Linked DNA regions of Tamandua tetradactyla. The protein of the gene in region 4 binds, or shares a complex with, the protein of the main gene of each other region. Links are inferred from orthologs where the notes say so. Each region holds a gene or a part of one and is shown on either strand. Other genes may lie near its edges.

The links.
Region 1: KAT7 (region 4) and JADE2 share a complex: the UniProt entries of both Homo sapiens proteins name them as parts of the HBO1 complex. The link is inferred for Tamandua tetradactyla from reciprocal best matches to the Homo sapiens genes KAT7 and JADE2.
Region 2: the proteins of KAT7 (region 4) and BRD1 are in contact, whole or in part, in a crystal structure (PDB 5GK9), measured with the Homo sapiens proteins. The link is inferred for Tamandua tetradactyla from reciprocal best matches to the Homo sapiens genes KAT7 and BRD1. Residues at the interface, in NP_008998.1 of Homo sapiens: Leu531, Phe534, Gly536, Lys537, Glu538, Ile539, Ser540, Ile541, Lys542, Pro552, Val553, Val556, Gln560, Leu565, Tyr567, Lys571, His572, Leu573, Val574, Leu575, Lys576; in XP_047297239.1 of Homo sapiens: Val40, Ile42, Glu43, Ile44, His49, Arg50, Ile51, Ser52, Ile53, Phe54, Asp55, Pro56, Leu57, Glu58, Ile59, Ile60, Leu61.
Region 3: KAT7 (region 4) and JADE3 share a complex: the UniProt entries of both Homo sapiens proteins name them as parts of the HBO1 complex. The link is inferred for Tamandua tetradactyla from reciprocal best matches to the Homo sapiens genes KAT7 and JADE3.

The regions. Positions count from the first base shown.
Region 1 is NC_135346.1:13,591,209-13,599,569, forward strand, and holds the start of JADE2 (E3 ubiquitin-protein ligase Jade-2), read left to right. Parts: upstream 1-5,105; 5' UTR 5,106-5,210; intron 5,211-5,474; exon of another isoform or gene 5,475-5,509; intron 5,510-5,534; exon of another isoform or gene 5,535-5,920; intron 5,921-6,713; exon of another isoform or gene 6,714-6,822; intron 6,823-6,840; exon of another isoform or gene 6,841-7,110; intron 7,111-7,413; exon of another isoform or gene 7,414-7,598; intron 7,599-8,361. UniProt on the Homo sapiens protein: Scaffold subunit of some HBO1 complexes, which have a histone H4 acetyltransferase activity. Acts as an E3 ubiquitin-protein ligase mediating the ubiquitination and subsequent proteasomal degradation of target protein histone demethylase KDM1A.
Region 2 is NC_135333.1:44,964,873-44,972,145, forward strand, and holds the start of BRD1 (bromodomain-containing protein 1), read right to left. Parts: upstream 3,320-7,273; 5' UTR 3,254-3,319; intron 2,772-3,253; 5' UTR 2,573-2,771; intron 11-2,572; 5' UTR 1-10. UniProt on the Homo sapiens protein: Scaffold subunit of various histone acetyltransferase (HAT) complexes, such as the MOZ/MORF and HBO1 complexes, that acts as a regulator of hematopoiesis.
Region 3 is NC_135353.1:123,516,694-123,524,335, forward strand, and holds the start of JADE3 (protein Jade-3), read right to left. Parts: upstream 3,355-7,642; 5' UTR 3,312-3,354; intron 3,207-3,311; exon of another isoform or gene 2,905-3,206; intron 1-2,904. UniProt on the Homo sapiens protein: Scaffold subunit of some HBO1 complexes, which have a histone H4 acetyltransferase activity.
Region 4 is NC_135332.1:30,970,046-30,977,946, reverse strand, and holds the start of KAT7 (histone acetyltransferase KAT7), read right to left. Parts: upstream 3,142-7,901; 5' UTR 3,029-3,141; coding exon 3,008-3,028; intron 1,611-3,007; coding exon 1,463-1,610; intron 1-1,462. UniProt on the Homo sapiens protein: Catalytic subunit of histone acetyltransferase HBO1 complexes, which specifically mediate acetylation of histone H3 at 'Lys-14' (H3K14ac), thereby regulating various processes, such as gene transcription, protein ubiquitination, immune regulation, stem cell pluripotent and self-renewal maintenance and embryonic development.

The DNA.
Region 1 (8,361 bases), on a different chromosome or scaffold from region 4:
GTGGGAGGGCAGCAAGGACTGGATCCCAGATATAGGAGACAGAAGGAAGCGTGAGCAAACCTCAGTTGTACCTGTGCAATCAATATGTCTTCAGATTGCTTCTCTAATTCCACCCTTCCCCTTCAGGATTCCCAGGAATTCCCTGGGAACCCTAAGGTTAGGGCAAGTGTTGTGACCCAATTTTCCTAACTGTTCAAACCTGTGCTATTTCAAGTGTGAGCAGTGGACCAGTAGCATCAGCATCATCTTGGAGCTTGTTAGAAATGCAGATTCTCAGGCCCCACCCCAGACCCACTATATCATAATCTGTACTTTAACGAGATCCCAGGTGAGGTATCTGCATGCCACCACTAGACAGGCACTGCCTTAAGCAGCCAACAAGTGAACATGGACGGGGAATCCGAATGCCGAATGAGGACTTCCCACCTGGCGCACTCAGTAAATATTCAGCGAATGAATATTAACCAAATCTCATGTGGGTTTCTCCATTTAGGGTGCTCAGGATATGCTGGACCTGTGCCTCTGGACACACACATCGAGCTGTTTGAAAGGCTTTTTGTTCCTCACAAGGGCTCCTGGAGGAGTGGCTATTGTCTACTGAGGGCCAGACCAGTGCTCAGTACCGTGTGGGCATGCTCTCAGTGTTTTACAAAGTGTGGTTCAAGGCCTAGGGCATCAAGAATGACCAGCTGCTGGTTAAAAATGCAGATTCCTGGGCCCTGCTCTGGACCTACCCCTTGAGAACCTTTGAAGATGAGATCCAGCAATCTGCATTTTAAACAAGCATCCCAGACAATTATTTCCAGTAATTTGGAAATGGTTGCATCTCTAGCTTACAGAAGAGGAAACCAAAGCACAGAGAGGTTAAGTAACTCATGCAAAGTCACAGAGCTGGTGAATGACAGAGACCAGATTCCAACCCAGGACTTCCTGGCCCTGGAATTCAGTCTTAAACGTAATGCCTACTACACTGGAAAAGCTGATGCCCAGACAGACTGTATATAATTAGCCCTATGCATTGCCTTGTGTGTATTTCAGGTGTCAAAGAGGTTTGGTAGACTGTGAACTCCTGTGAACTCTTGCAAGTCAGTGAATGTGTTTTATTTCTCACTGTATCCGTGGCATCCAGCACCGAGCCACCATGGGGAAGATCCTCAACAAAAGCTGTTTGAATTGAATTTCTACAGATTTTTGGTTATCCATCTTTACACACATTCACAAAGATATATACAAATGAAGGGCATTTTATTTTTAGGTAGCATCTTGGAACTAGCTAGTAACAAGTATAAACCTCCCCACTCTCTTGAACTCACTCCAATCAAGCTTTCGTCTGCACCACTCCACTGACACGACTCTTGTCAAGGTCACCAATGACATCCGCGTTGCTGAATCCGGTGAATTCTCAACCTTTCTCTTTCTGACTGCTTTGTAGCTTTGAACATAGGGCTTTCCTCCCTTTTGAAACTCTCTTTTCACTAGGACTTCCAGGACATCATATTCTTTGGACTTTCTTCCTAGCGATCTGGATGCTTTTTTAAAAAAAAAAACAAAACACAAAAACATCTTTGCTGATTCCTCGTCATTTCCCAGACCTCTTAACCTTGCAGTGTCCAAAGGCATCATCGCTGGGCTTCTTCTCTGTCTACCCTCACTTCTTTGGTGATCTCAGATAGCATGAAATACCATCCATCTGCTGACCACTCTCTTTAGCCCTGAGCTGAGACTGCCCGGTCTAGCTGTCTATGGAATGGCAGCACTTAAATGCTAACAGGCATCTCAATCTTAACATGTCCAAGGCTGAGCTCTTCAGCCTCCCCCCAAAGCCTACTCCTTTCACATCTCCCCCATATCAGTTCACGGCAACTCGATTCTTCCACTGGTTCAAGGCAAAACCCTTGAAGTCATCTTCAACTTCTTTCCCTCTCTCATACCCCACAGCTAATCCATCAGTAAATCTTGATAGAGTTACCTTTAAAATACATACAGATGTCAACTTCTTATCACTTTCACTGCTACCCCCTGATGATCCATCTTAAGCACATCTCTTACCTGGTGTGTTGAAGTGACCTCTTAACTGGTCTTCCTGCCAATATCCTGGCCCCTTCGGTCTGTCTGCTACACAGCAGCCAGAGTGACCTGTAAAACCCAGTACCTCAGGTCATGTCGCTGTTCTGCTTAAAACTCTCCAGTGCTTCCTGTCTCAATTCCAGCAAAAAGCTAAATTCCTAACCACTCCCTACAAGGCCCTAGATAACTCTTCCTTATGCATATTAAGCACCTTAATGCCTCGGGGCATTTGTGTTTGCTGGTCTCTTTGCAGTGACAGTGGTTCTCAACCATCTTTGGTGCCATGGACTCCTCCTCTGGCTTCTGTGAAGGCTGTGGACAACTGAGTACAATAATTGTTAATCCTTACAATAAGTTACATAAATTACAAAGAAAATCAATTATATTGAAAATCACTCTCAAAATATTTTTAAATGTACTATATAGTAATACATACGCTTCTTAATTCATTTAAATTACAAGACATAGCAGCCTAATTTTGAAATAGCGGTGAGTGTAATGATATTTTCAGATAGCCGCAACAACTGTAATGTGATATAAAAATATCTGATTTCTACTAGCAACAGCGTCACAGTTGCTAACACCACTGTGATTTGTTTCTGAATTCATAATTGAAAATTATGCTAAATTACATTTTTTTCCCATCTAAGGTCAAGAACCCCTGAATTTTATCCAGAGATCTCTTAAAGGACTTCTTAGACCTCTTAAGAATCCAGGTTAAGAACCCCTGACTAGAATGATCTTTCCCCATTAACCCTTACTGCTCACTCCTTTACCTTCTTTTGCTCAAAAGCCACATCTCAGTGAGGTCTCCCTAAGGAACTGCTATCTCCCTATCACCCAATTCTACTTAATTTTCTCCATGGCACCTACCTTCAAACACAGAGTATATACATTATGTATCTCCTTCCACTAGAAAGTAAGTCCCATGAGATCAGAGCAAGGATTTTTATCTGTCTGTTTTGTTCGTGCCGTGTGCCCTCAGCAAGCAGAAGAGTACCGGGCGTACGGGAGGCACTCAATAAATATATGTGAGTCAACAAATGATTACATCTCCAAGAACTCTGTTTCTTTTCTTTTCGTATTCTGCAAAGTTAATGATTTATGAAACTTTTAATAAAGATTAAGTAGTTATAAATTAGCTTCATCATTATCATTATGTTAACATTTCTAAGGTTAATGAGAACCCAAGGGTCCTGATGGGATTTCCAGACTTAAACCACAGGTATCTCCCAAGGACCCTTCACGGGATGGAGGGCTCACCCAAGCTTAGAGAACCACCTCAGGGTCAAAATGCAGCCAGTAAAATCCTGCTCTCTTTGCCAAATCAGGCCTCAACCGGAGTCAAACCAATCATACCAGTACTTTCTATTTCTGGCAGGGTAGTAAAATGAGAGCCGCACAGATCTTGGGGTCAGGTAGATCTAGGTGCCAATTCTGCCAACACTTACAAGCCATGGGACCGTTGGTAAGTTACTACACCTTGGTGAACAGCTAAGAAGGGGGGTTTGCCAGCACAAAGCAGGCGCTCTAGAAATGGTGACCCCCTCCTCTAGGTCATTTTATAATTGCCTACTAAGGTATTTCCCCATTTTAGATCATGGGATCCTGACACCTGGGAGCAGACAGCCTGACTTGTCCTCTCCTACATACAAATCCTTCGGAGCCAGGCCCAAGCAGAGCAGATCCCCGGGACTGGGCTGCTGTAAATTGGTGACCCCCAACTCCAGTGTGGCTGAGAGTGCTGCCTGGACCTTGACCATCAAGGCCACTGTCCATTATGTTTTTTTATCCTGGCCCTCCCTTTTGTGTGTTGACAGAAATAATCGTCCCCCAGTTTTTCAGAGTTAAGAGTTTTGGGAGAGCACATTAACCTTTCCAAACAGCATACAGTAGATGGGGGAGTGGGCTGCTTACTGCACACGTGTGCTCTGAGCCAGGCCCTGTTTACCTGCATGTGCCTGCACATGTACACACACACACGTCCAAATGCACATGTACACACACACGTCCACACGGACGTATGACCTCAGGAACCCACAACTGCCCCCTTCTACAGATGAAGAAGAAGAGAACTAGAAAGATGAACTCACTTGCCCATACCACACAGCTTCTGAGAGGCAGAGCCAGGACTAGAATCCAAGAATTTAACCATTTTGTTACTGCACCACAGCCCATGACACCTGTTTTGCAGGCCCTGACCTAGGCTTGGGAAAATCCTATCCACTGATCATGGAGAGCCAGAGCCAGGTGATGGTTAGTCCACCTGCCCCTAGTCTTGCCGGATAAGCTCCCGCACCTCCCACACCCCATCTTGTGAATGAAGGCCAAGGAGGAGAAGTGTTGCAGGGACTCCCTTTGAGATCATAGTTCTTTCTGGTTGCAAAAAGTGCTTATTTCAGCATTTTTAATCATCTCCCTCTTTGTTGTGTAAACAATCCTCTCTGTCAGAGGATTTGTGCTGTTATTACGAGTTTGTTTATTATTAGATTTATTTCTCCTATAAGCAAATGTGTTCACAATATTCCATCGGGGAATCTTCTTAATTGTCACATAAATGTCATGTTATGTAAATTGAATATTTATCTTTCCTTGGAAGGGGGTGGAGGGGAAAGAAAGAATAAACAATCTTCAGTCTTGGAGAGATAAGGTGGTTCCTGAGCCACTTCTCAGTTTACCCTGGTGCCATAGGTGAACTGCCAAAGGTGAACCGGGAAAAAAAAAAGATTGGATCATCTCTGAGGGGCTGCCAAGAAGGACGTGGGATGGGGGGGGGGGAAGAAAAAGTTGGCAGTGATGCTTTGGAGATGTTGGCCCCAGCTCCTAGGTCTCCCTCCTCCTCTGCCCTGCCCAAGGCCACACCACAGACTACCTCGTCCACGGCTGTGGGCATCCGCGGGAGGATGCAACTGCCCCCACCCCACCTCCCTAGTGCCCATCCCGGAGGCCAACCTTTCTCCTTCCTCGAGAGAAGGTGAGCGCGGCGGGCGCAGCGGCCCGGGTGGGTGTGGCCCGCGGCTCCGGGATCGGCCCCCAGGCCCCGCCACCGCCCCGCAGCCGCCCGCCAGCCCGCCTGCCCGGCGATCGCAGGCTCTTCTTCCAGAAACTGCGAGGATCCGAGCGCACTGTTTGTGCACCACAAGGTCAAGTCGGGAACTGGAGCCGGAGGAGGAGGGGCGAGGAGGCGAAGGGTGGGGAGAGGGGCGCCCTGCTTCCTCGCCAAGTGCCAGCCCTTGGAAGTTGCCCCTCGTTTTTTAACCCTTTCGGAGCCTCGGGGAACGGGGTGGTGAACTAGGGAGACGGGGTTACTCCGGGGCAAATGCAAACTCCCACGGGGGTCAGGATGTGCAGCCACCCACCCACCCATCACCGCCTTCCCCACCCCACCCCACCCCCCGGAAATGCGGGGCAGCGCCGGGCGCCAGGAGACACCCGAGCGGGGGTAAGGGGCGGCGAGCCGGCGAGGGACCCTCTCTACCGACCGCCCCTCCTTTTTTTGAGGTCGCCTACAATTTCAAGTTTCCCCCCGCCGGGGACGTTAGTTTCCATCTGGCGTGGGTGGGGGAGGAGGGCCGCGCCCCCTCCCCCAGACTCGCGCGCGCCCCTCCCCTCCGCTCCTGCTAGCACTTTCTGCTCACTTCTAGCGCTGGGCTGGGAAACGCCACGCGATTTATTCAATTCGCATTTTAAAACCAGTGATTCCAGAGTAAGGCCTAGGGCGAGGGGCTTCTAGCGCTGGAGCCCTGGGGGGCGGGTGCTCAGTGCAAACCTCGTTCCCTCCGCGAGCGTCGCCTCCAGGCTGTTATTTGCGAAGAAACGTCTTTTTGACGCAGGGAGAAATGGCAAATTTTAAGTACGTCATTAATATGGCGCCAAAAGATTTTTTTAAGTATAAGCTTGCTTCTTTTTTTTTTTTAAGGTTGCGGGGGGCGCCGCCCGGGTCTGGGGAGCGAAGGGGGCGGGGTGTGAGCAGAAAGTGTGAGTGAGAGAGTGGAGGGGCGGAGTATGTGTGTGAGTGTGTGAAGTGTGAGCAGACCTGATGGGACTTGCACGGGCGCAGCCGCCGCTCAGGCCCGGCCCTGGGGACAGGGCGGGCTGGGGGCGCCCCCGAGCCGGTGGGGAGCCCGAGCCCGGGGTGTCGGTAGGCGGGCGGCTCGACAGGGCACCCTCCCTGCGGGGCCCGCAACGCTACCTGGATGCACCGCGGGAGCCAAACAACTGGGTGTGGGGGGGTACGGGGGGGGGGGGTGTCGGACGACAGGAGTGTCAAGAGCGGAGATCGGAGTGAATAAGAAAAAAAGTGGCTACTCCCCCACCCTCGCTCCTCCCGCCCGCCCCTACCCCCACCCCCACCCCCACCTCAACACATTTTTTTTTTTTTCTAAAGAGATCACAAGGAAGTCTTGGTTTAAAAAGAAACAGAAACATACACAGGGGGTTGGTAAATGGTGCCGACCGCGGCCATCGCAGTTGGAGGCTATTTGGAGGTGGTGGGGGGAAGCGAGTAGCGTCCATGGAGTTACTTTGCGCCCACTCCTAGCCGCGCCCGCTGGGGTCTCGCGGGTTGATCGTCCGTGGCTGGGGAGGCCGCGGGCCCGGCTCCCTCCCTCGCCGCGACCCCGGATGGATGCGCGCCCCCCGCCCTTCCGCGCCGGCCCCAGGAGCTCCGGGTTTCGGGAGCATCCTTTCCGCGCCGGCCCCCGCTGTGGCGCGTAGCCGAGGGCAGCGCCCCTCGGGAGGGCACAGCGGAGCAAGGTAAGATCCACCCTCCAGTGGAAGGGCCCTGCGCATCTCTACGGCATTATTTTGTGTTTTTGCAACAGATCTGCCAGCGCTTCTCGCTCCCTCGCTCTCTCTTGCTCACTCGCTCCCTCTCCTGCTGGCTGCCTGTTCTAGGAAGCCAGCGCCGGGGGGCGGGGGGTAGGGGGGGTGGTGAGATGCACAGCACTGGGGAGAGAGATTGCGCATGTTGGTCAGTCGTGTTTTAAAGAGTACAGTGCGGGGAGGCTGAGAGGGGCGCATGCAACAACAACTTTTGGAAGGGTGAGCTTGGCGACCTTCTTTATTAATGACTGCGGCAAAGCGCCCCCGGACCGGCGAGGGGGCGCGGGCGGGCGGGGGCGCGCCGGTGCTGCAACTTGCCCCGCGGCTCGGGCCGGGAGCAGGGGCTGCGGTGGGTAAAGGGTGCGGGGGTGGGGGGCGGCTGTCGACTGCCCCCCGGGGGGGGGGGGCGCTGCTCAGGACCTGGAGCTATCTGCCCTCCTGTCGCCCCGAGTTTCATTTTGTTGATACGCAGCACGTCCGGGCGCCGAACCGGGCTGAGCTGGTGCACATGACCCCGCACTGGGCTCACGTGCAGCTAGTCCGGCCCCAGACACCTTCCGGAGGCCACCGCCTCCGCTCTCTCGCCCCCTCTCCGGGCTGGGTGCACGCGGGAGCTGCACGCGGGGGCAGCATGCTTGGCTCCCGGGCGCCGAGGCTCTGCACAAATTAAGACAGTTTTTTGGATATGCGGGAGACGCTCTTTCCAGGTGAGTGGGGGGAAGTGCACGGCCCCGGCGCCGAGGCGCGGGCTGGAGTTGGGGGCAACCACCCCTCCGGGGCTGCGCGGGAGTCCGGCGGGGTAGAGGCGCTGGGAGAGTGGAAATGTACCGGCGGCTGCTGGGGCGGCGGGTGCGCGCCCGCGGGGCGACGGCAGGGGGCGTGGCCGTTGTTTACCTTCTCCCAACTCTGCCGGTTCGCGTCCCGCTCCGGGGACGGCTCCGCAGTCCCTCTGCTCTCCGCCTCCCCCCCGGCGCCCAGGGTGGTACCGGGAAGATGTAGGCGCGTGGCGGCCCCTGCCTGGGACGCACACACCTGACCCCCACATGAGTGACATTGCAGCCCCCGCCCCCACCAAAACCGCTGCAGTCCCTCTGCCGGATCACCGGCCCCGCCCCGCCCCCGGCAGTGGCATCTTCCCAGCCTCACCTCCTTCCTCCCTTTCTCCCTCCCTCCTTCCCACCCACTCGCCTGCGCCTGCGGAGCGGCTCCCGCCCGCCTCCTCCCCTCCTGGGTGCAGACTTGTGGCTCCCTCCGGTCCCTTCCCGCCCATACTGGGCCCTGAGACACCCCCTTCTCTCGGCCGAGGGATGGGAGGCGGGGGGCTGCCTGGCGAGGCGTAGTTGTTCTGCCAGACGATGGGGATGTCTGCGAGATGGGCAGGAAGGCTCCGCTCGAGCTTCCAGAGGCCCAGGACCCACCCCCTCCCCGAACCTTACCACCTCTCCTGTATACAGCTGCCCAACCCGCAAA
Region 2 (7,273 bases), on a different chromosome or scaffold from region 4:
CAACAATCACCTACAAGCAGAGCCAGATTGAGAGTTATTTCACAGCTTGGGATACCTCAGAAGTGCACATGAGCAGAGCATACACAGTAACTCCAAGCTGCATCAACATGAAGCTCACATTTACACGGGTCTGAGGCTTTCAAAATCACTCATCCTGACACCTGTCATCTTGTTCCAATAAGCCATCAACAGCCCATTCACCCCAGGCCCAAGAGTCTCCCCAGGACCAGAAGGAAAGGGCAATAGTGCCAGGAGAGGCAGAAGCAAGGAACAGCCCAGATGCCACAGCTCTGCAGAGGGCATCTGCTATGAGAAGCCCTCCAAGAGGCTGGGACAGTTCTTGCCCACCCCACTTCATGTAGGCCAAGTCAATAGGCAGCCAAGACCAGGACGACGACTCGGGTCTAGACCCCACGGCCAGTTGGCCCAGGGGGCCAGTTAGGACAATTCTACTGTGGGCTGGGATCCCACAGGTACAGGGGCCACGGTCTCAAGGTGCACCATCTCAGTGGCTACTTGGTCCTCAGGGTCTCCAGGGGCCCCTCCCTGCCAACTCATCCCTTCCCCCACGACTGCCCGGGACAGCCCCCGGGGGAGCAAAAGTACACCCAAGAACTCACAAGCCCTTCATGCTAACAAGGTAAAGGGGGACAGCTACCTACTGGGAGTTTCTGGCCAGACGCATATCCCCATGCACACCGTGCTGGAATGGAAAAGGAGAGCCCCAGCATAGCCTCCATGGGGCCTCCACGATGACCACCCCACCCCAAGGTGCCTTCTGCCATAGGTGGCCTGAATGCTGCTACGCCAGCCTGTGTCCTCTCCCTCTTTCTGGAAGAAACCCAGGTATGGACATCTCTGCCTTCTGCTTGGCTCCTCAGCAGGGCTGACTCCCAGAGAACCCTGCTGGCAGAGACCGCACTGAAGTCTCTACACTACAAGGCTGGTGCTGGCTCCAGGGCCTGAAAGCTCTGCTGCAGAGGTTTGAGAATTTGCTCTTCTCAAAGATCGGCAAAGCCAGCATGCTGCCCTCCAGAGCTGCCAGTTTCTGTGGCTGAGAGCAGTAGGCCTGTCACCACTGCATCAGTTTCACCGCGTACCACTTACAGGGGCCTGGCCCCTTGTTCCTTGAGGACCTAACACTAGGCCACCCTTGCGACCAGATCACAGCCCCAGAGGCACTCTCGTCCAACAACAAGGAAGAAGCCTGACTGTCCCTGGGAAACAGCTACATTTCACACAAAGGAAACAAGATTACTTTTATAAATTCAGGGCTTACAAACAAGTGTTTCAAACAAGTGTTCCAAGTTGGAGAGGCCCCAGCACAGCATCTAGCCCTGCCCTGTCAGGAGGTCCAAGGGCAGCCTGCAGAGCCCTAATTCACAGCCTCTGGGTCACCCGAGTTGTACTCCAAGAAAAGCCCACAAAGAAGAGATTCACTCTATACTTAGACATTCTTAGCTCCTATAGGGACATCCCAGCAGAGCCTATGTACACTTCTTAGGAAAAAACCTACAGCTTGTGGTTGAAATCAGACTGGAATTCCCTATGCAGACACCATGGTAGGGAAAACCCCCACTAGCCCGCATATCTCAGGGACCTCTGGGGCTCACTGAAACCTGAATTCCTGCTGAGCTGTCAGCAAAGCTGCTCCAGCCCTGTGCAAACCAGGGCCCCACACCTCCAATAGCAGGCAGACACCTTCCGAGGCGGGCTGGGCGTGGCCCCCAGCCCAGTGCCACCGCCTTCACGGCAGGCGCCCTCCAGCACTCTGGGAGAGCCACACACGCTCATTACTGAGGTGGGGCAGAAGCAACAGTTGGTTACTCACCAGATTCAAAACAAACATATAATTTTCTCCTCTACAGCAAAGCACAAAGCAACTCTAAGTACAAGGTCTTCAAAACCTGAACTCTCTCAACAGGTCTCAGAGCTCTTCATCTGACCCCTTCCTACCAGGAGAGCTTAGCCACTGACTCAACAGTCAGAGCAGTTCTAGCCCAAGGCATTACAGAGGGTGAGATGGGCATTCATTGGCAGCATCGGACACAGGGTGACCGGGGTACTTGGCATCTCCCTAAGCCCTGGTCAGCCGGCAGCCTCTCCCCATTCCCAGGGCTGTACAAGGAAAAAGGGACAGCAAGGGCAGCCGGTGTGTTTCCAGGGAAATGAGTGTGCTAAATGCACACGTCCTGGAAAGCCACAAGGGCCAGAAGAGAGTCACTCCAAAGCAGTGATTTGCTTGGGGGTTTTGTAATTAGTTTCATTTCCTGTCTGGCTGTGGACAAGTCATTGAAACTCTCCAGGACTCTGCAGCCTCTATCATAAAGTAGGTACAGGAAGAGCTTATGCTTGGCCAGGTTGTGGGAAGAGTAAGTGGTGAGCCAGGTAAATACACAATGCCATAACTCCTAGTTCATATTTTAAGCAATGACAAAGACTTAAACCCAGGCAGGAGGGTGCTTTGTGGGGCAAGGGGCACATTCTTGGGTGGGGCGGTGATGATGTGAATGTGGATTCACTTGTCAGGACCACGGCACCCGAACAACACTTGTATGTGTGTAAATTATACCTCAGCAGAGTTACTCCTTAAGAAAAAGACCAGGCCTGCTGGGAGGCGCGTTCATTTCATCCCGGGCCGGATCCGCAGGAAGGAGGCGCCACGGCGCCCGCCGGCCCGGGGTTGCCTCTCCACCCGGGAAGTCGCAGAGGTCCGCCAACGTCTCTCGTTGGGGAATCTTTACAGTACGTCCCTGTGAACAGGGAGTTTCCTGTCTCGGCAAAACAAACAGAGTGTATCTGTTACATAACGCGATCCAGCACGCTGAGGAGGCAGCGGCCGACAGCTTCGTGCAGTGTGCCGGGCCCAACGCGGGCTGAGGCGGGGCGCAGAGCCCGGGCCGGCCTCACCCGGAGACCTGCGGGGCCTGGGCTCCAGGCACTCCCCGGCACGGCGCCGCGACCCGCCCAGGCCTCCTCCGCGCCGCCGCACGGAGCCCCCAGCGCGGTAGCGCAGGCTTGGGCCCCTCCATCCCCGCCACGGCCGACCAGCGAGCGCGGCCCCGGCTGACAGGCCCGGCCCGCCGCCCCCAGCCCGCCCGCGGACAATGCGCGCCGCCGCCGCCAAACATGGCGTCCGCTCCACAAGCCGGCGACAGGCCGCGGCCCAGGGCGGCGGCGGCCCGGGCGGCCCGCGAGTGAAGGCGGCGGCGGCGTCAGACACAGCCCGGCCGGGGACCCCCAGCACACTCACCTTCGGGGCGCCGCAGCCGCGGGAGCCCGGCGGGCGAGCGGGCGAGCACGGGGAGCCGGCGCGGCCGAGGCGGCGCTAATGGCGCCCGCGGCTCCTCCGCCAACGGCCGCGCAGGCCCGGCCCCGCCGCCGCTCCTGGGCGCGGGCTCCCTCTCGGCGCCGGCGACTCCGGGCCCGGCCGCGGTGGCCGCGGGCTCTCGGAAGGAGGCTCGCGCGGCGGAGGCCGGCGAGGAAGGCCGGCGGGGGAGACCCGGCCGGGGCGGCGGCGGCGGCAGCGGGGGGCGCGGGGCTGGCACGGACGCCCGGGCCGGGCCGCTCGCTCGCTCCCCAGCGAAGCAAACAATGCGGCGAGCGCTCCGCCCGGCGCGCTGCGTGCCCGACGCGCCCCGCCCCGGCCGCCGCCATGACGCGCGCGGGCTCCGCCGCCTTGGCCGGGCCGCGGGGAGGGGCAGCCGGAGGAGGGACCGCCGGGGCGCCGGGCTGGAGGGCGGGCGGCGGGTAGAGACTTAGGGGGTGCCGCGCGGAGGCTGAGGGGAGAACCAGGAAAGGAGACTTAAAGGGGTACAGAGGGGGGATTGGGAGAGGGGACGTGACGGGGTGAGGGAGGGGAACTAAGGGAGTGGGGGGGTGTCGGAGGATGGGGGGAACCTGAGGGGTTGCCACGGAGGGGCTGGAGGGAGACCAGAGGAGGGGGTCCCAAGGGAGTGCTGGGTAGGAGAGAAGGCTGCCAGCGGGCCTGAAAGGGTGCTGGGTGGGCCATGGGGGGAGGGAGGCTGGTGGAGTGGGGGTCCTGAGGGTGCAGACCCGGGAGGGTGATATCTGAGGGAGCGCTGGGGAGGGGTCTGCACAAAGCGCTGGGAGGGTGCCTAGCAGATGTGGGGGCTAGCTGGGCTGGAGGTCCTCTTTAGAGCATTAGAGGCCTGGTGTGGGGGGGGTGGTTAGGGAGCTGGACACCCACCTGGGATCCTGGTAAAACAGATGCCATTTTAAGATTTTTGAGAAAAGGGCCCTCTGAGGCAGAAGTTCAGAGACCCCAATCATGCTCTCCTATCAGGTTACTTCCCCTTGACCTGTTGTTTAAACTCTGAAATTGAATGACCTCTGGATAATTTTTAACCCCAAATTCCCAAAATGCTGTGATACAGGGAGTGGCCGGATGGTTCCTTGGCTACCTGTGAAGATTAACTGGCTGAGTGTGGGGACCCAGCTGGTGGCAGCAAAAGAGTCCTCTTGGGGGCACAGGGACCCCTGGGCTGGCAGATCTTCCTCCACATGGTAGGCAGGGCAGCGTCCACTGCCCGGGACCTCCACCAAATGCCTATGGTGGGACTGGGGAGACCTTGTCCACCGACAGGCCATCTGCTGGCCAGTTCATGCAGCCCAGGGCATCCAGTGTCCCCTTGGGAAGCAAAGGCCTGGAGGGGGTCAGGACCTTCAAGGTCAGCCGTGCTTCCTCTGGCCATGCCGTTGGGCAATGGTGGGGGACAGTGTGGCCTCTGCTCTAGGAATGGGTTAGTCTCAGGCCAGCTGTGCCCAGGCAGCTGGACCCAAACTCTTCCTGCTCCTGCTCCAGGCCCCCTTGCCCACCTCAGACAAACCAGAAAACCTAGAGGAGTGCCCACCCCATAGAGCAAAAGCGAGGGCCAGTTGCATGAAAGAGAAGAGGAAAAGACATGGAGTTCTTCCTCCCCAAACCAGAGACATGTGGCTCAGGGCAGAAGCAATGCCTAGGAAGAGGAAAGAAAAAAGACACACATGCCATGGGGACATGCTGGAATTCCAAGAATAAAGAGCATAGCTCAAAAGCCTTCAGAGGGAAAGGGTCTCCTTTAGAGGTAATCAGACTGAAGTCACGAAAGAGCAGTTGTCAATATCTGCGAAGGTGTTTTCACAGACCCGTAAGCATCCAGTTTACCAACCACCAAGCCCAAAAAAACTACTAAAGGATGTACTTTAGCAAAATGAAAAGAGAAGGCAAGAGTAAGAAGTGGTTGCCAGAAAAGAAGTGGTTTGAATTATTCAAAGAAAATCAAGTAACAACATGAGGGGAAAATCCCAGATGAATTAGACATGACATCTGGCAAAAAGGGGTGGAAGGGAGAAGTGAAAGTGCATCAAGATTCTTGTATTATTTGGTTGGAAGATTTTTAAATTATAGGGAAAAAGACAAAATGTATATTAGGAAATTTCTACTTAAAAAATAGAAATAGGATTTATAGCTTCTAAATAAGTGCTGAGGAGAAAGTGAGATGAAGAAAAAGGGACAGAGCCAACAAAAAGAAAAAAAACCCAAAAGCATAGTAAATAATGAATATAACATAAAGTGACAGGAGGAATCCAAATATATAAGTAATCATTGAAATGTGCTTGGACTAAATTCATCCATTAAAAGATTCAGACTCTAGGATATAAGATAGTTAAATGCTGTTTTCAAGAGATACACCTGAAAAAAATTATTGAAAATAAAAGGATAGAATGTAATACAACTTTCATTCCTCAAAAGACACATAAAGAGAATGAAGAGCAAAAATTGAAAAACTGGAGAACGTACCTTGCAAAAGATTAGTATCCAGAATATATAAAGAGTGCTTTCAAAGCCACTAGAAAAAAACAACCCACTAGAATAATGGACAAAGCCCATAACCGGGCTTCTTGCAGAGAAGAAAATTGAAACTGCCAATAACATCACTAGTAATTTTGGAAATGCAAACTAAAACCACACTAAATGTGCACAGATGTTATAGTCTGACAATACTCAGAGTTGGCAAGAAGATGGGGCAACAGAAAAGTGCTGGCCTGAGCATCAACTGGTACAATTACCTTGGCAAATAACATCGCATTATCTGGTGAAGTTGAACATATGTGTATCTTTGGGGGCAAAACAAACTGCCCCCAATGCTTCACAGCTGGAAACAACCATCACCTGTTCTGCTCGCAGATGTGCTAGAACATGCCAGGGGGACTTTACCTGGGCTTGGGGAGCCGCTCCCATGGCAGGTAGGCCGGTTGTGGCTTTAGGCTACGGGCCTCAGTTCCCCTGCAGTGCTCCTCTTTGTGCACTAGTGGGGTTCCCTCATGGGACGGCGGCTGGGTTCTAAGAACAGGGCTCCAAAGATAGCCAGGTGGGGACTGTCTTACGTCTCGTGAGCTGGCCTCAAAAGTCACCTAACGTCAATTCTGCCATAGTCACAATCCTGTGCAATTCCAGAAGCAGGGGGGACAGACCCTTCTCATTGGAGAAGTGTCAGAGTCACACATTTTAAGAGGAGAAATTGTGGGGCCACTTTGGGAAAATGCAAGCCACCACAACGTGCACACCCACTACCAGCGAGCATTAGGCCAGCGTACATTCCTAGGCACAGTCCACTCCAAGCAATGTGTACGTGAATATTCACAGCAGCACAGAGTTTAATAGCAAAAATGTGGAAGGGGTGCAGGGACTCAAATGTCCATGGATAGTAAATTTGTTATGGAGAAATAAATAGAGGGAGAAATTAATTGAAACCTCTGGTGCCGCAAAGCTGAATCTCAGTCACACGATGCTGCATGCAAGAAACAAGCCACAGGAGACGGAAGTATGGTTCTATTTGCCCTCGGAAGAAAGCTGGGAAACAGCTGTCCGGAGGTGCGTGCACACGCAGACGCACACCCATCTGTTTTGATACCCATCAACAAACCTTGAGTGTGTCCTGACCCCTCCAACTCTAGTCCAACACCATCGGGTTCATCCTGGGCTCCCCTTTGCATGTTTCGTGACGCATTTCCCGCAGCGAGTGGCCTGGTCAGTCTCCCTGGCGAGAACCAAAGCTTGACCCCAAAAGCACCAGCCACGGCACCTGCCAAAGTCTTGGCCCGGGGCACGTCGCCTTCCCATGCCTACGCCTGTGCATTCACACTGGGTCCAGGGGCCCAAAGCTGGGCTCTCCAAGGGTAGGAAGACAGGCGTGGACATGCTGGTGTTAGTTTTTAAGGGTCCATTTTCCAGCAGAAATAACAAATGCTCTTTCTCTCCTGGATCTGT
Region 3 (7,642 bases), on a different chromosome or scaffold from region 4:
TTCATCACGTCTACCCCACTCATCTTAGATCCTCCCCACCCCGTAACCCAAAACACTTCCACATTCCCAGTCACTATAAGTGGAATAACAAGGAGAAACTTGTGAACTGTCAAGTGCCCCCATATTAGACATTTCAGGAAAGCTCCAAATAGGTGTCACATAATACCCACTCCTCACCTAGTAAAGGTTATAGTAAATTATCCCCTAATAAGAGAGTTTCTTAATGTGTAATTCAGTATATGACCTTTATCTTCCTCAGCTACCATGTCATGTTAGCTCCATGAGGAGGTACATGGATTATGCCCTATGATAATGTTCAATCTCCTTTTTGGCCCTTATCTCTGCACCCTGGAATAAGACTTTTAAGGGTCTTTTGTAATGCCATGGTTTCAAGAACATCCGACCCCTTTTGCCACCTCCATCTCTCCTCAAAAAATGCATGCCCAGTTCCAACCAGACCTCATAGTAATGGACAAAAAGAAGAGATAGCTTTGTGTAGCTTAGGAAAGAAATGGGTCTTTATAGTTGGTACAACACAAGGGAGGGAAAAGATAAGCAGTGGATCATGCTCAGTCTACAAGCCTCCCATTTCAACATCCTTTGCTTTGTATTTTAACTCTTGCCAACCCACACTTCTCGACTATGATGAAAGCCCTGCACCATCACCTGTCCTGTTCCTGATAACGTCCTCTACAGTCCACAGGGTTAATCTCCTCTATAGAAGGTCATCAGAGGCTTCCCCAAGGTTGCTTCCAAGTCACTGCTGGCTCTCAGCTCATCACCAACACTTCAGGGAGGAGCTGGGAAGCCGTTTCTCCACTTTCCCCTACCTGTGATCAAGAAGGCATTTATTTCACATTGCCAAGACACTGCAACATGACTCACAAAAATGGGGAGAAAGAAAGCATGAATTCTAGAACCAGAGCTGCACCCCTGAGTATTCCAGAATTCATTGGACAGAGCATGAAGGAACTATTTCAAGGTGACAATATTGCATTAAAGGCTCTTCTATTTAGCAAACAAAACTATGAAGATCACAGTTGTAGAGAATGTGGCAATGATGGTAGCTAACATTTGATTGAGAACTTAATACGTGCTGGGCTTTAAGAAGTGCTTCCCTAAGATCTCATGTAATCCTCTCACCCCTTGAAGAGATGTATTAATCTTTTACAGTTTAAGTATTTAAGCTTAGACCCCATTTTAAATGAGAAAGAAAATATGTCACGAAGGTTGAATAGTCCTGGGCTAAAAAAAACTTTAAAAACGCACCTATTCTCACTTACGCAGAGTAATCACATGATGCTACAAAAGCATGAGAACTACAATATTCAAGGGGTGCAAAAGCTGGGATTCACATTTCCATTGTTTACAGATCTTATTAAAGTATTAAACTAAATAAAAACTCCAATACTTTACTCAGGCGGACTCCTCTCTTAACAACTCTCCCCTTTCCCGGCTGACAAGAAGTGGCTGCAGGGAAGATATTTAAGACCTAACTACTCTGAGAAAGTGGATTCTCAGGCTGCTTAAACTAAGCCAAGATGTTGTGCAATCATTTTTTACCTAAATTATTTTTCATTAATTTCAAGAGTTTACAGAGAAGCAGACAGCTATCTGTATCAGACTGAGTACAGGGAATGAGATCACTTTTCCCTCCTGGCCACTGGAATCATCATCAACACGGTTTTACAATGAGGGCGGGGGCGGATCTCAGCCTCAGCTTCAGCTTCATAAACGGATCTCACAATAAAAATAATAACAAAATCTCACGCATACCTGAGACCATGGATTTCCTTTCAACTTAAAATGTCAGAGTAGCTCCCACTAAACAAGTTTCTTGCCTAGGAGCTACATGCCCCAGGGCTACCCGACGATATCAACTTTTAAACAGGCCTTCACAGAACCACCAGTGGTCACTCATTCGAGATCCCGCCCCTTTTTCCTCCTCACAAATAATAAACGCAGGTTATCCTGTGCAATTTAAAGTCAGACTTCCCGAAGCAGCGTTTTTGAAAAGCAGGAGAAAAAGACTGGAGAGAGCCAAATCAATCTATCTCTACACACACATACACAGATTGCCCCCAAGGCGTAGGGACTAAAACCAAGTTGATGGCTTAAGAAAAAAGTTAACTTTGCCGTGCCCAGACAAGGGAGAAATTTCTGGTAAGAGTTGGAAAGCCCTCAGGATTTTCCCATTCCCACGACCGCCCAGCACTCGGCGGCAGCCGACTGGCAGCGTCCGAACAATGACCTGAGGGGGAGGGAAAGTTCGCGAGCCCGCGGGGTGCCCGCCCTCGCGCTCGGTGGGCACTGGGGCCCACCAGCGGCCTCGCTGCTCCCCGGCACCACTGGTCTTCCCCTCTCTAGGCATTCGGTTCTTCCCGCCCCCCACATTCACCTCAGTATCTAACCAGCCAGGGCACGCCCTCTCTCCTCAGAGCATCCCGCCCCAGGCGGCCCGCGGAGCAGATCCGTGCAGCCGCGGATTTGACCCCGCAAACCTCAAAACCCAGCAGAGGACCGGGGCGGGGAAGCACCGGGAAGAAGCACCTGAGAAAACAGCCGCAATAGTTATGGCGCTCAATTCCTGCCCGGTTGGAGCCAAGACAGGCTGCCGACCTCGAGCGTCCGCCCTCCGCGTCCCCCGCGCGGGCCACCAGGCACTGCCTAGCCCGGGAAAGACCTCCGGGAATCCAACTCTGCCCACTCACGCTCTCGGGCGAGGGCGCCGGGCACGCGGGAGGGGACTGCGGTGTGGGGCCGAAGCGGCCCGAAACGTAGCGAGGCAGGGCTGGGACGTTGCGCCCGCGCCGCCCGCTGCGACTCCCTGAGGCCACCGCTCCCTCTGTCGGCGCGACGCCCCGCAACCCTGCTAGCCCCGCAGCTGGCCTCGGTGGCGCCTACCTTCGCTCAGCGGGGTCGCGGCTCCTTCCCGTCTCCACGGTAGGGCCCGGCAATGTGCCGGGCGAGTCTGGTAGGGATGGTAACCGCCCCCCTACCCGCTTGCTTTCTTCTCTCTCCTCCCTCGCACCTGCCCCCAATCCCTCCCTACCCCCGCCCCTCAGCCCCGGCCGCCTGATCCGCTAGGGCCAGCCCCCCGCAACTCAACTCCCGCCCTCGGCCCTCGTCAACCCGGCCCGTCAGGCCTCAGCGCTGGGCAGCTTGCGGTTGGGCGACGGTGGCGGCGGCCGAGGCGGCGCGCAGCACTATTGTATTCCTGACACTGTGCGCTCCCACGCTCCGCCTCTTCCCCTTCCTTCCTCCTCCCACCCCCCACCGGCCGCGCTTGCCCTCCCCAACAGGCTCCCTACCGTCTCCTGGCCGCGCGCTCTTCTGGCGGGCGGGCGCCGTCGCCTGCGCAGAGGGTCTCAAAGCTCCGCCCACCCAACGCTCCTGCACTCGCGACACTTGTCCTTCAGGTGGGTTCTTCACCCCTCCTGCTGGGCGTGCTGCTTCGGGGAGGAGCTCCAGCCAGACTAAAAGCCAGAGGGGACGAGGTGGAGGTGACTTGGCTGTGTTGAAATACAAGCTAAACTCTTTGTGGCCCCTTCTAACTCTAAAGTTCTGTAAGTGGAACTCTCATAGCTCAAAGTCGTGATCAGCCGCCATTGATTTAGGTTATTTGTACTTTAATTAGCTATAATAACAAAATCATAATGGCTGTTAACAGACTTCATTTATCCCATTGCAGGCACTAATGATTTATGGTGTTGTGTGGCTTTTTGTGTGTCTGCTTGGCAAGACTGTAACCTCAAATTATTCATTCCAACACTGATCTAGGTGTTATTGTAAAGGTATTTGGCAGATATAATTAAAGCACTTAATCAGACGAATTAAAGTTAGATTATCCGGAATGATCTGGGTGAGCCTGACTGAATCAGTTGGAAGGCCTTAAAAGCAAGGCTGACATTTCAGAGAATATTGGAGAGAAATTCCGCCGTATGCTGAACAGCTTTGGCCTGTGCCCGTGGGTTCTAGCCTGCTCACGATCTCTCCTATCTGACCGATGGACTACTCTACAGATTTTGGATTTGCTTAATCAGCCCCCACTATACTTTGAGCCAATAGTTTGTAATAAATGCATACATTTATACATAAAAACATTAATGCATTGTATATAAAACCTATGTATTTTTGCTTCTCTGGTTAAATGCAGACATACAGATGTTTCAACAACCAATCTTTTAAATTTACCTATCTGGGTTTGGAAGTATACCATGTGCAGTTGCAATGAACTCATATAGCCATTTTCCCATTTGCATTTCTAGGATAAACAATAATATAGGCTCTTTGATATTTTGTTTGTTTTCCATATTAAAGACAAAAGTGTTTCATGATATACAAAAGTGTAAGTTGTAAAATACTTCAGACTTAACCTCATTCTATTGTACTTATTTTGAAATAATTACATATTTACAGGAAGTTGCAAAAAATACTACACAGAGGTCCTTTGAACATTTTATCCAATTTCCCCCAATGGTGACATCTTACATAACTATAGTACAATATCAAAACCAGGATATTGACATTGGTACAATCCAAAGAACTTATTCAGATTTCACCAGTTTTACATGCACTTATTTCTGTATTTGTGTATATAGTTCTATGTATGTGTTCTCACATATATAGATTCGTATAACCACCACAATCAACTGTCCCTCCACCACAAAGTTTCCTCCTGCAGTCCCTTCGTAATCACAGTCACCCTCTTCCCTCCTTCTAACCCCTGGCAATCCATAACATATTCTCCATCTCTATGGAACAACATTACATAAATGGAATCATACACTATATAAACTTTTAAGATTAGTTGTTGTCCCTCAGCAATAGTCACTTGAGATCACCCAAATTATTGCATATATCAGTAGTTCATTCATTTTTATTGCTGAGTAATATTCCATACTATGAATATACCATAATTTGTTTAACCATTCATCCTTTGAAGGACATTTAGGTTGTTTCCAACTTTTGGCTATTAAGAATAAAGCTGCTATAAACATTCATATAGAGGTTTTTGTGTGAGCTTAAGTTTCCATTTCTCCAGGGCATATACCCAAGGATATAATAGCTAGGTCATATGGTAGCTATGTATTTAGTGATACCCAAGGATGTAATGGCTAGGTAATATGGTAGCTATATGTTTAGTGTTAAACTAGCATAAGAAGCTGCTAAATTATTTTCCAGACTGGATGTACCATTTTACATTTCTACCAGCAATGCATTAGAGATCCAGTTATTTTACATCTTTGTCAGTATTTGATATTATCACTATATTTTTATTTTAACCATTTAATAGATGTGTAGTGATATCTCATTGTGGTCTTAAATTGCATTTCCCTAATGGCTAATGATATTGAACATCTTTATTTATGTTTATTTGCATCTGTATATCCTCTTTGAGAAAATGTCTGTTCGTGCCTTTTGCCCATTTTCTAATTGGATTATTTGGTTTTTACTGTTACATTTTGAGAATTCTTTATATATCCTCAATACAAATCTTCTGTCAGATAAGTGATTTGTGAATATTTTTTCCCACTGTGTAGCTGGTCCTTTCATCCTTTCAACAAGTATTTTGCAGACCAAAAGTTTTTAACTTTGATGAAGTCCAATTTATCAATTTTTACATTTATGCGTTGTACTTTTGGTAGCAAGTCTAAGAAATCTTTGCCTAGCCCAAGTCTGGAAGATTTTATCTTATGTGTAGTTTTACATTTTACATGATTCATTTTTAAAATTTAATTTTTGAATAAAATGTGAACATAAGGTCAAGGTTCACATTTTTAGCTGTGGGTGTCTGATGACTCCAATATCATTTGTTAAAATTACTATCTTTCCTCCATTGAATTTCTTTTGTACCTTTATAAACATCAGCTGGGCATATTTGTGTTTGCCTATTTCTGCATTCTCTATTCTGTTTCACAGATCTATGTGTCTGTCTCTCTGTGAATAGCAGAGTCTTGAATAGCATAGCTATAAAGTAAGCCTTAATATAGGTAGAATGATTCCCACCACTTTATTCCTTTTCAGAATTGTTTTAGCCATTCAAGGTCATTTGCCTATCCATATAAGTTTTGGATAAAGCTTGTCTATACCTACAAAACATCTTTCTGTGATTTTGTTAGGAACTGTGTTAAACCTATAGATCAATTTGGGGGCAACTGACTTCTTTACTATATTGAGTCTTTGAATCCATGAATGTGATATATCTCTCCATTTATTTAGATCTTTGAATTCTTTCATCAGCATTTTGGAATTTTCAACATACAGAACCTGTACATGTTTTGTTAAGTGTACATGTAAGTATTTCATTTTCTTTAGCACAATTTAAATGATATTGTGTTTTTAATTTCAACTTCACGTTCCTTGTTCATTATTAGTATATAGAATTGCTTTCAATTTTTTGTATTACTCTTTTATCCTATGATCTTGGTGAACTCAGTTATTGGTTGTAGGCGTTTTCTACTTAGACAATCGTAGTCTGTGAAAATAGGGACAGTTTTATGTCTTTCTTTTCAATCTGTATGCCTTATGTTTCCTTTTGTTGCCTTATTATGCTGGCTATAACTTTCTGTACTATGTTGGATAAGAGTGATGAGAGTGGACATCCTTGCCCTGCTCCTGATCTTAGGGGGAAAGCGTTCAGTCTTTCACCATTAAATATGATATTAGCTGTAGGATTTTTGTAGATGCTCTTTATCAAGTTGAGAAAGCACCCAATATTCCTAGAATGCTGAGAGTTTTTATCATGAATGAGTGCTGAAATTTGTCAAAAGCTTTTTCTGCATTTATCAATATAATCATATATAATTTTTCTTGTTTAGCTTGTGGCTATGGTAGGTAGCATTTATTGAACATTGATTTTTGAACCAACCTTGCATACCCAGAATAAACCCCACTTGGCCATTGTGTAATTCCTTTTATACCTTGCTGACTTCTACATCGCTAATATTTTGTTGCAGATTTTTATGTCGAAGTTCATGAGAAATAAAAGTCTGTGGCTGTTTTTGTTTTTGTTTTCTGTACTATTTTGGTCTGATTTTGGTATTAAGATAATTCTGGCCTCATAACATGAGTTGGGAAGTTGCACAGAAAAGAGTTCACATAGCAGGCCCTTGGCTGGTATCTGGGCACTTGGATTTCAGGAGGGTTTGCACCATTCCCTGAACGGATAAGAGTGGCTCGCTGTGCCTAAATTATTTGTGCAAATAGTATGGTTTATGCTGAATGGCTGCTTTCCTTCTGGGAGTCTGAAATTTTGGTAAATGCTAGGCAGAGGGTGCCTGTATAACCAACCCCCAGTAAGAACCTGGGGCACTGTGTCTCTAATAAGCTTCCATAGTAGACAACATTTCACATGTGTTGTCAAAACTTGTTGCTGAAGGAATTAAGTACATCCTGCATGATTCCACTGAGAGACAACTCTTGAAATATTGTCAATGGTTTCTTCTGGACTTCACCCCATGTGTCTTTTCCCTTTGCTAATAGTGCTCTGTATCCTTTCACTGTAATAAACCATAGCCATGTGTTGAGTCCTGTGAGTCCTCCTAGTTAATCATTAAACCTGGGGGTGGTTTTAGGGGCCCTGACACAGAAGTGATCCCTCTTTTTTGATATTCTGGAAGAGATCATGTCAAATTGGTGT
Region 4 (7,901 bases):
CTTTACTTCTCCAACTGATCATGAAATAAAAGAAATACAAAGCAAAAATTAAGTCACATTTTAAACAAATTTCCTAATACATAAATCTTACAGATTCTCCAAAGAAGAGAACCGGAACTCTCAAACTTTGAGATGAATAAAGCTAGCACTCAGAAAGTTTGTCAGTTTGTACACCTCCAAGGGGCTCCATTCTCAATGTAGTCTATGTTTTGCCTTAGAGAAGGCCACCTTACAAAAATTACACTGCAAATGCAACCCCTAGGAGTCAAGCAATTCCCTAGTAATGAAGTACAGTAACTAGAAAGAGACCCAGACCTCATACATTTTCTAGCTGTTTCAAGTATTTACAACTTTCAGATGTCCAGGGCATGACCACTGACATCTTCTAAGAATCCTATGCCTCTTCCTTTGCAAAATGCTGTTCCCTTTGCCTAGAACACCAAGCCCATCATTTCCTACTTGATCCTTTAAGATCTCATTCTGGGAGACCTGTTCTTAGTTGGCTGCCCTACCTTGAGGGCAAGAACATAATTTTTCCATCACTGCATCCTACTACATAGCATAGTATTTGAATTATACTAGGCATTTATCAATACTGCCATTGTAGAAAAAAACTTAAAAGTTGCAAAATCAAAGACAGCTATTCTTTAAACTCTTAAATTTAAAAATAAAAAATTAAAGACAGCTGTTGAGAAAATATTCCCTCTTTCTTGCTTGAAAAATTGAAGTTTTTCTCTGTTTTGCAACATGCATTTAGCAATGATCAAATCAGCACTCAAAGCATATTATAATTTTTCTTTTCTTAATCTTGTATCTCCTACCGATCATCAGCTTTGCACATTTCAACCTTCTTTCCTCCCCAGGGAATTCTAGAGTAGAAGCAGAAGTCAAGGGTGCCTTCCAAATCCAAGTACAGATGGCTAATGGCACTAAAGAACCTAAACTTCCTTCCAACTCTGAGAGTCTAGATTTTTTACTATTCCCCCCAAATTCTGGGTATTTACACAATGATGTTTGGGTACATTTGTATTTATTAAGTGTGTATCTGACTATATTTCACAACTAAATATGGTTTCAGAAGTACTAGGCTCCTTCAACTATAGATTAAAGATACTATGTTAAGTCCCTAAACCTAAACTGTTGTGATAGAAAATGAAGCGGTAATATTCCCATTTTACTGAAGGGAAAACTGTAGTCTAAAAAAATTAAATGACTTATGACATACATCATGGCACACTCTAACATGTCACGTTATGTCATAGTTCCTTTGGGTCTACAAATTGGATGGCACCCCCAACAGAACCATTTTTAAAGACCTGATACATATACAGTTATTCATTCTGCATTTCACCAGTTTCTGACATCTATACCAAGATAAGGGACCAGTTTCCAAATTAACTACCACAATAACAGACTGACCAATGGTCAGCTGTGAGTGGTCAGAGAGAACAAAGCCTTTTACCTTGAGAACTCTGGCTCAGCCTGGCTGAGGAGCGGGTGACTCTGGCAGATCGCCGAGAGGTGCCATCACTCTCTGAACTGTCTGTGTGCTCGAGATCTGTAGAAAAATCGGAATCTTCGGTTCCATCTGAACTACTGCCTGCATTCCTCTGTAACACCATAGATCCAGACATTAGCACAGAAGTATTTAAACTATAGGATCGTGTTAACAGTGGAAATAAAACAAACCATGATGCCGAAAACACCAAGCTCTACCTCAGAAAGGATTCCAGATACAATTCCTCCGCCAGCCTAGAGTCAACTAGCCTTTATTAAGAACATTTAAACAGGTAACCTACAAATAAGGTACTTTTGTTAAATAAACAAAAAATTAACTCTTACTGTATTATCACTAATTCTGAAACTAATCCATTTGGAGATAAGCATAACAAAAGTATCCAACTCAAAAATGGTCTGGCTGATGTATCAATGCACATGGAAAGTCCAAATCAGTAAGAAAAATGTTTGGCTAAGATCCATTCGACTTCAGGTTACCTTTGTTCTAAATCTCCACAAACAGCTATCATATGTTAAGAAACCATGTGCTAATTCAAAATATCATGGTCCTCAACTATGTTACCAAGAGAACTTCCAGAGAAAGAGAAAAAGAAAGAAACTCTTTCTTATGTCCTCTCCCCGTAAAGGTTTCTCTAAAAGGACTGGAAAAGGCAGCTTGCATGTGAAAAGTTGGGGATATTAAAAAACAGATTTTTAAAATAATGTTTTCCTAAAAATTATTCGTCAATCATTAGCTTCCTCAGGAGTGAATAGCCATAAAGATAATTTTTATCAACTGAGCACTAACACTATATCCTTTAATCAGAGAAAGGAGAATATTTACTAAAATACAGAGCTTTGAACTACAAATCCCTAATCCTTTATTCAAAATGCTTGGGTCCAGCTGAGTTTGCTATTCATTATTTCTTAGATTATTGGAAAGAGACTACTTCACATACAAATAAAGCCTATAATCAAGCATATTAATATTTCTGCAGCAAAATGTGAAAACAGTAACACTAAATGCGATATATAAAAAACATAAATAGCTGCTGGACAGTTTAAGACAGATTTTGACACCAAATAAATTGCTATAAAACTTAAATTTTCCAAAGATATTTGTATTTGGGAATTGCAGAAGGGGGATGGTGGACCTATTCCAATGCACCAACACTATTCCTGCATTTGGTGAGCCTTAAGATAAATACCACCTACCAACTCTAGGTCATCTTAGGAGACCTTAAATATAATACATATTTTTAATTTGAAAGTCTGTGCAGAAATGGAGGCCACAGAACAGAGTCACAGAATGGATGGAGGGAGAGTCCTAAAGATCATCTAGTTCAATTATCCAGATATTTCAACCCCTGATCACCTCTGAACATTCCTTCCCAGCTTTACCCAGGCTTTCACCAATATACTCCCCATTTACTCCAGAGCAGATTTAACTGCTTCCCACTGCCCTTGTATTACATATTTCTCCACTTAGAGAATGCATAGACTGTCTTACCGTTCTGTATGTTTTCCTCATGAGACTGCGAGTCCCTTAAACTAGGGATTGTCTAAGTAGTTTTCCAATCCCCAGCAAGCCAGCCAATAACAAGCAGTCAAACCTTTCTTCAACCAAATTAGATTTGTTGTTTAGTCCTGGCTCTGCCATTGCACTCACTTAAGAGTGGTTTTGGGCACACTACTACTAGGCCTCCGTTTGCTCAGTTGTAAAAAGAGAGACGGGGTGGTTCCTAGGTAATCCTTTAACTCTCTTCTAATTCTAGAAAGTTTCTGCTTTTACAAACTGCATTTTCTAGGCGCTGCTGAGCTAAAGACATAAAGAAAAATTAAGACTTAGACTCAATAGGCCTGAATGGATCCCTTGAGAGCGGACACTGGTTCCACAGCACCGAGTCCTCTGCTTTGTTGTCACCGCCCCCGCTCGCCCCCCCCACCCCGGAAAGAAAGGAAGCCTTAAAAACCCCGCCTCTACACCTATCAGCATCCCCACCCAGAAGGGAGGGGTCCCGTGCCGCCCAATAGAGGTCCTGCTAAACTGCGCCCCCACGGGACAGACTGCCAAGTACAGCCAATCAAGAGAAGAGGGATAGTTCTCTACAGCCAGTTAGAGCGCGGTAAGGCCGGGCCCAGACACCGCCCCCGCACGCGGGGAGGTGACCGTTGGATCCAAATGGGCGGTATCACCAGCCAATCAATATACGTCTCGATGTTTCAACAACCAATTAGCGATCAGAACGCCTCCGATCCAGCCAAGCAGAGGGCGGGAATAGTAGCAAGCATAGGCCCAGGCCAGGGTCGGGCCCACATTCTTCTATCGAGTACAGACGGAAGAGAGGGTTGCTGAGCTAAGTTGGGGGAGCAGGAAGTTGGTCCCCAACCACTGTGAAGCGTGGCTAGCTGCATCACGTTGCTCAATCGACTGTCCTCAGAAACCCGCCATCCCTCCCCTCTCGTTTTTCTCACCTTTCTTCGCGGCATCGCCGGCGGCTGCGGCCCGACGGTTCCGATCCGGGCAGCGGCGGCAGCAGCAGTAGGAACGGTGGCTCCGGCGGGCTCCGTGGCGGCCTCTGTAGCAGTCCCAATCCTGCGGACGATCCCAAGTGCCTCCTGCCTCACAGCGTCGAGAGTCTTCTGCGCAGGCGCCGCGGGCTGAGGCGCTTTTTCCTTCACTTCCGGCTGTGGTCGCGTCACTTTGCGCTCAGGCCAGAGATGGTGCTGGGAAGCGGGCGTGGCGTTCGCCCTCTTTGGTGAGGCTAGTGAGCGCCATTTTGGAATTGGGCAGGAAAAGACACTGGTAGCAGAAACCAGGGCTATTTAGGTGAATGGCGGCCTTTGTGGGCGTGGTTAGCTATTCTTGTTTGCGGCAAAAACTTGATAGTTGAAGTTAAAGGTTTTCATCTTTATCTTGGGCAAAGTTTCCCTTCCAGGTCGTTTTAAATTACTGGCGACGAAGAAGGAAACCCCCAAAATCCATGAAGTTGTTGAAGTTTAACTCCTTCGTTGCCTAATTGGCTAAAGATATTTCCGTTTAGCATGTAAACTCAAAATTGAGAAGGGGTATTTTGCACAGGAAACTTTTAAGAACCAGCCTGTGGCTCGATAGGGGAGGGAATGGCGGCTTATAAAATGAACGAAAGGGTAGCTTCTATCATCAGAAAGTTTTCTTTTTGGTAGAGGAGATACTCCCCTTGCCCTTGGCGAACAGTACGTAAATTGGTCGTTCGGGTGGTGGGAGGAGGCAATTATTCTCCAGAAGCAGTAGCTCCTAAGAATTTCCATTTTAGCCCTGTGGTGAACTTCTCCCTCCTTCCCCCATTTTGTATGGATTTCAGAGTACTGAGTGGCCAGGGATGAAAAATGTAGCGAAAACGTGGGGGTGCCATGCTAGAGTCGGAGAACCATTGAACCTATTTATCCCGAGTGAATTCTGAAAATCCAGATAGCGTGAGCCGGGAGTTGGGGTCAGGGGAGAAGAGGAAGGGATGTTTTTGAGCTAGAGTTTAAAAAGGTATAGATATTTAAATAACGATGGTGATGATGATGATTAGGGCCTCCTTTGAGAGCCTAGGAAGAAGTTGGTCAAAGATGTAACCTCGCTGGAAAAAAAGCCTTGAGAAGACCAAGACTTTGTTAACAGCAGCTGGGTGGAATCCAGACAGGCTTAAGTTAGGATCCTGGACCCGGGTTCCAACCTGAGCCTACTAAAATGAAGATTTCCCCCAAGGAGCAGAGTTCAAGAACAAAGCAGCAGAAGGCAAACATCTGATTGGTGGCTGAACAGAGGATTCTGAAGAGTTAAGATGCCCGACCCTATGCCAGCACTCTCTGTGGAGATATCCTGGACCAGTGTTGACAAAGGCAACTTTCAGTATTTAGTAATTTGATATTTAGCTTTTAATAATTAGTAGAAGTACTTTTGAATAGCCTACTTAGGTTGAACTGCATAGAAGAACTTATTTGAAAACGGCTCATATTTCTTCTTGCTTTGTATCCTCTCAGCAATCAAGCCTTGGCTATCACACTGTTACGCTGTTATTTTGCACTTAATGTTCTGTGCTGAGTTCACTTTTGAGGCTTCTGGCTCCCCACCTAGTAGTAATGACCTCTTGTGTTAAAAGCATATCTCAATTCTTTTGTGACATCCCCTCTAATAATGCCTAGACCGTGTTCTACCCACACTAAATACAAGCTAATCAAAGTATCATCTCTATTCTCCAGTCTCTGAATGTGCAGGATTTAAGTCACCCTCCCTGGAAACTGGTATTGGAGAAAAAGATCTTATCCTGACTTAAACCATTCCTAATACAAATACCAATATGACAACTGTTAAATGTTAGTAAAGCTCTTAAACTGCATTCTCTGCATGCGGCCAACACTTAAGAGTTCACAGTTTAAACATGGTTCTTGTACTTGGAAAGTGTACATTCTGGCAGAAAGATGAAAAACTTAACACCAATAGGATAGAAATAACATTCCTAAGGGGGAAAGAATGTGTACTTAACATGAGATTATACCAACTAGGTGTATTTAAAGAGAAGGAGCGGGAATCTTACATTTTTCTTTCTTTTTGTTTTAGACCAAGTATTTTTACTTTGAGTAAAGTAAGGACATAATAAGCTCTTACTTGGTTTCAAGGCCTTAGACCATTTGCTCCCTGCCCATCTTCAGCCACCAGACTTTACATAGATACTCTCCACTGTCCTTCCTGCCTTTACCCTTTCACACAGGCTTTTCTTCCTACCTACATGCATCTCCCAACACACCTTAAAATTTACTTTCTTCAAAAAGTTTTCCTATCGCTTCTCGGCCTTTTGGCTAAGATCAAGTGTAGTATCTGTTCTTATCAGTTTTATATCTGATATGTCCTCTATCCGAGGACAATATATTAAATGGATTTTTGGAATTAGGAGATGGAATAGGAGCTTGCTCCGTCCACTCCATGCATCGACCTGGTATTGCAGTATTTCCAGGAACAGTGCACGCCCCTCGGGGGGACAATAAATGTATAAAAAGTTTTTCCTGATTTATTCTTTTTAAGGTAGTAAGTCATGGTGCTATGCAATTTTGCAGTTACTGCAATATTTATACTTTTCCTTATACAATTTGGTAGATGGTTTATTCCTCACTGCCTTTCTCAAACAGATAAGAACAGTAACTCTTACTTATTCATCAGATCTACTAGTGTCCAGTATAGGACTTTCATGTCACATCTGGATTTAAATCTCAGGTCTGTTCCTTTCTCTCTGGATGCTCTTTGCACAAGATTTTTAATTGATCCATATCTCAGTTTTCACATCTGTGAACAGGAATATTAATTCCCACCTCACGGGGCTGTTATTAGGCTTAAAAGAGATGATTGTTGCAAAGCACTTAGCACAGCACTGTTCAATGAATAACTGTTGTTATTGATATGTATAATTCATGGCTATAATGTCTTAATGTTTGTAAATATATCTTTTCATGGTCCCAGTGGTTCTTTGCTTTTGTCTGTTCAACCTCAGTTCAATTCAACAGACCCGGAGTGATAACCCAGGCATTATACCATCTTTCCCCTAAAAGGACTTAGAATCCTTCTGGGACAGACAGATCAATAAGCTCATAGTTCCAAAACACTACAGCATATTATCTGGGAAAAGAGAAGGATGAGCAAAGTTCAAAAGTGCCACGGAAGAGGAAATGGATGGGTTTATCTGGAAGGTGTAGGAAAAGATTCACAGAAGAGATAAAACAGGAATGAAAATTCCAGGATGAATAAATTTGCCGGTGGACAGGGAGAAGGTGGGCTTTCCAGGCAAAGGGAACAGTACGTACAAAAGTACAGAGGTTTGTAGCAGCATGGGACATGGGGGTGACTAACGGCCTGCTGGGCTTGGGGTGATTGACAGAAGAAGCAAGAATGGTTTTGGGAATCGGTTCATGAAGAGCCTTGAATGCTCTGCCAAGGAGCCTGGACTATGGAAGCGATGGGAACCTCTGAAGTACTCTCAGCAGAGGAGTCATACAATCAGGTTTGCACTTTAGGGATCTCTTATGGCAGCTGTGAGGGGGACTGATATGTGTCAGAGAGACAGAGTCAGGGCCACCAGTTAGAACACTGCTGTAATAAACTTGGCCAGAGATGAGGAGAAATTGAACAGAGCAGAGGTGGGGGGGGGTCCATCTTTTATGTATGTTCTATTGTATTGTCTTACTTGTATCTGTGTCTTATCTCTTCGATTACATTTGTAAGCTCAGTAAAAGATCCCTCAATTTCCTTTAAAACATTCCCTTTATAAGTAAAAAGATGGGTAACATATTTCAAATACAAAGTATAGTTCGGAGAGGTTGGGAGCCTTGCCTGGCTGGCCACCACCATCTCCAGCTTCTCCTTTGCCTGGGATCTAAAAGGGCTC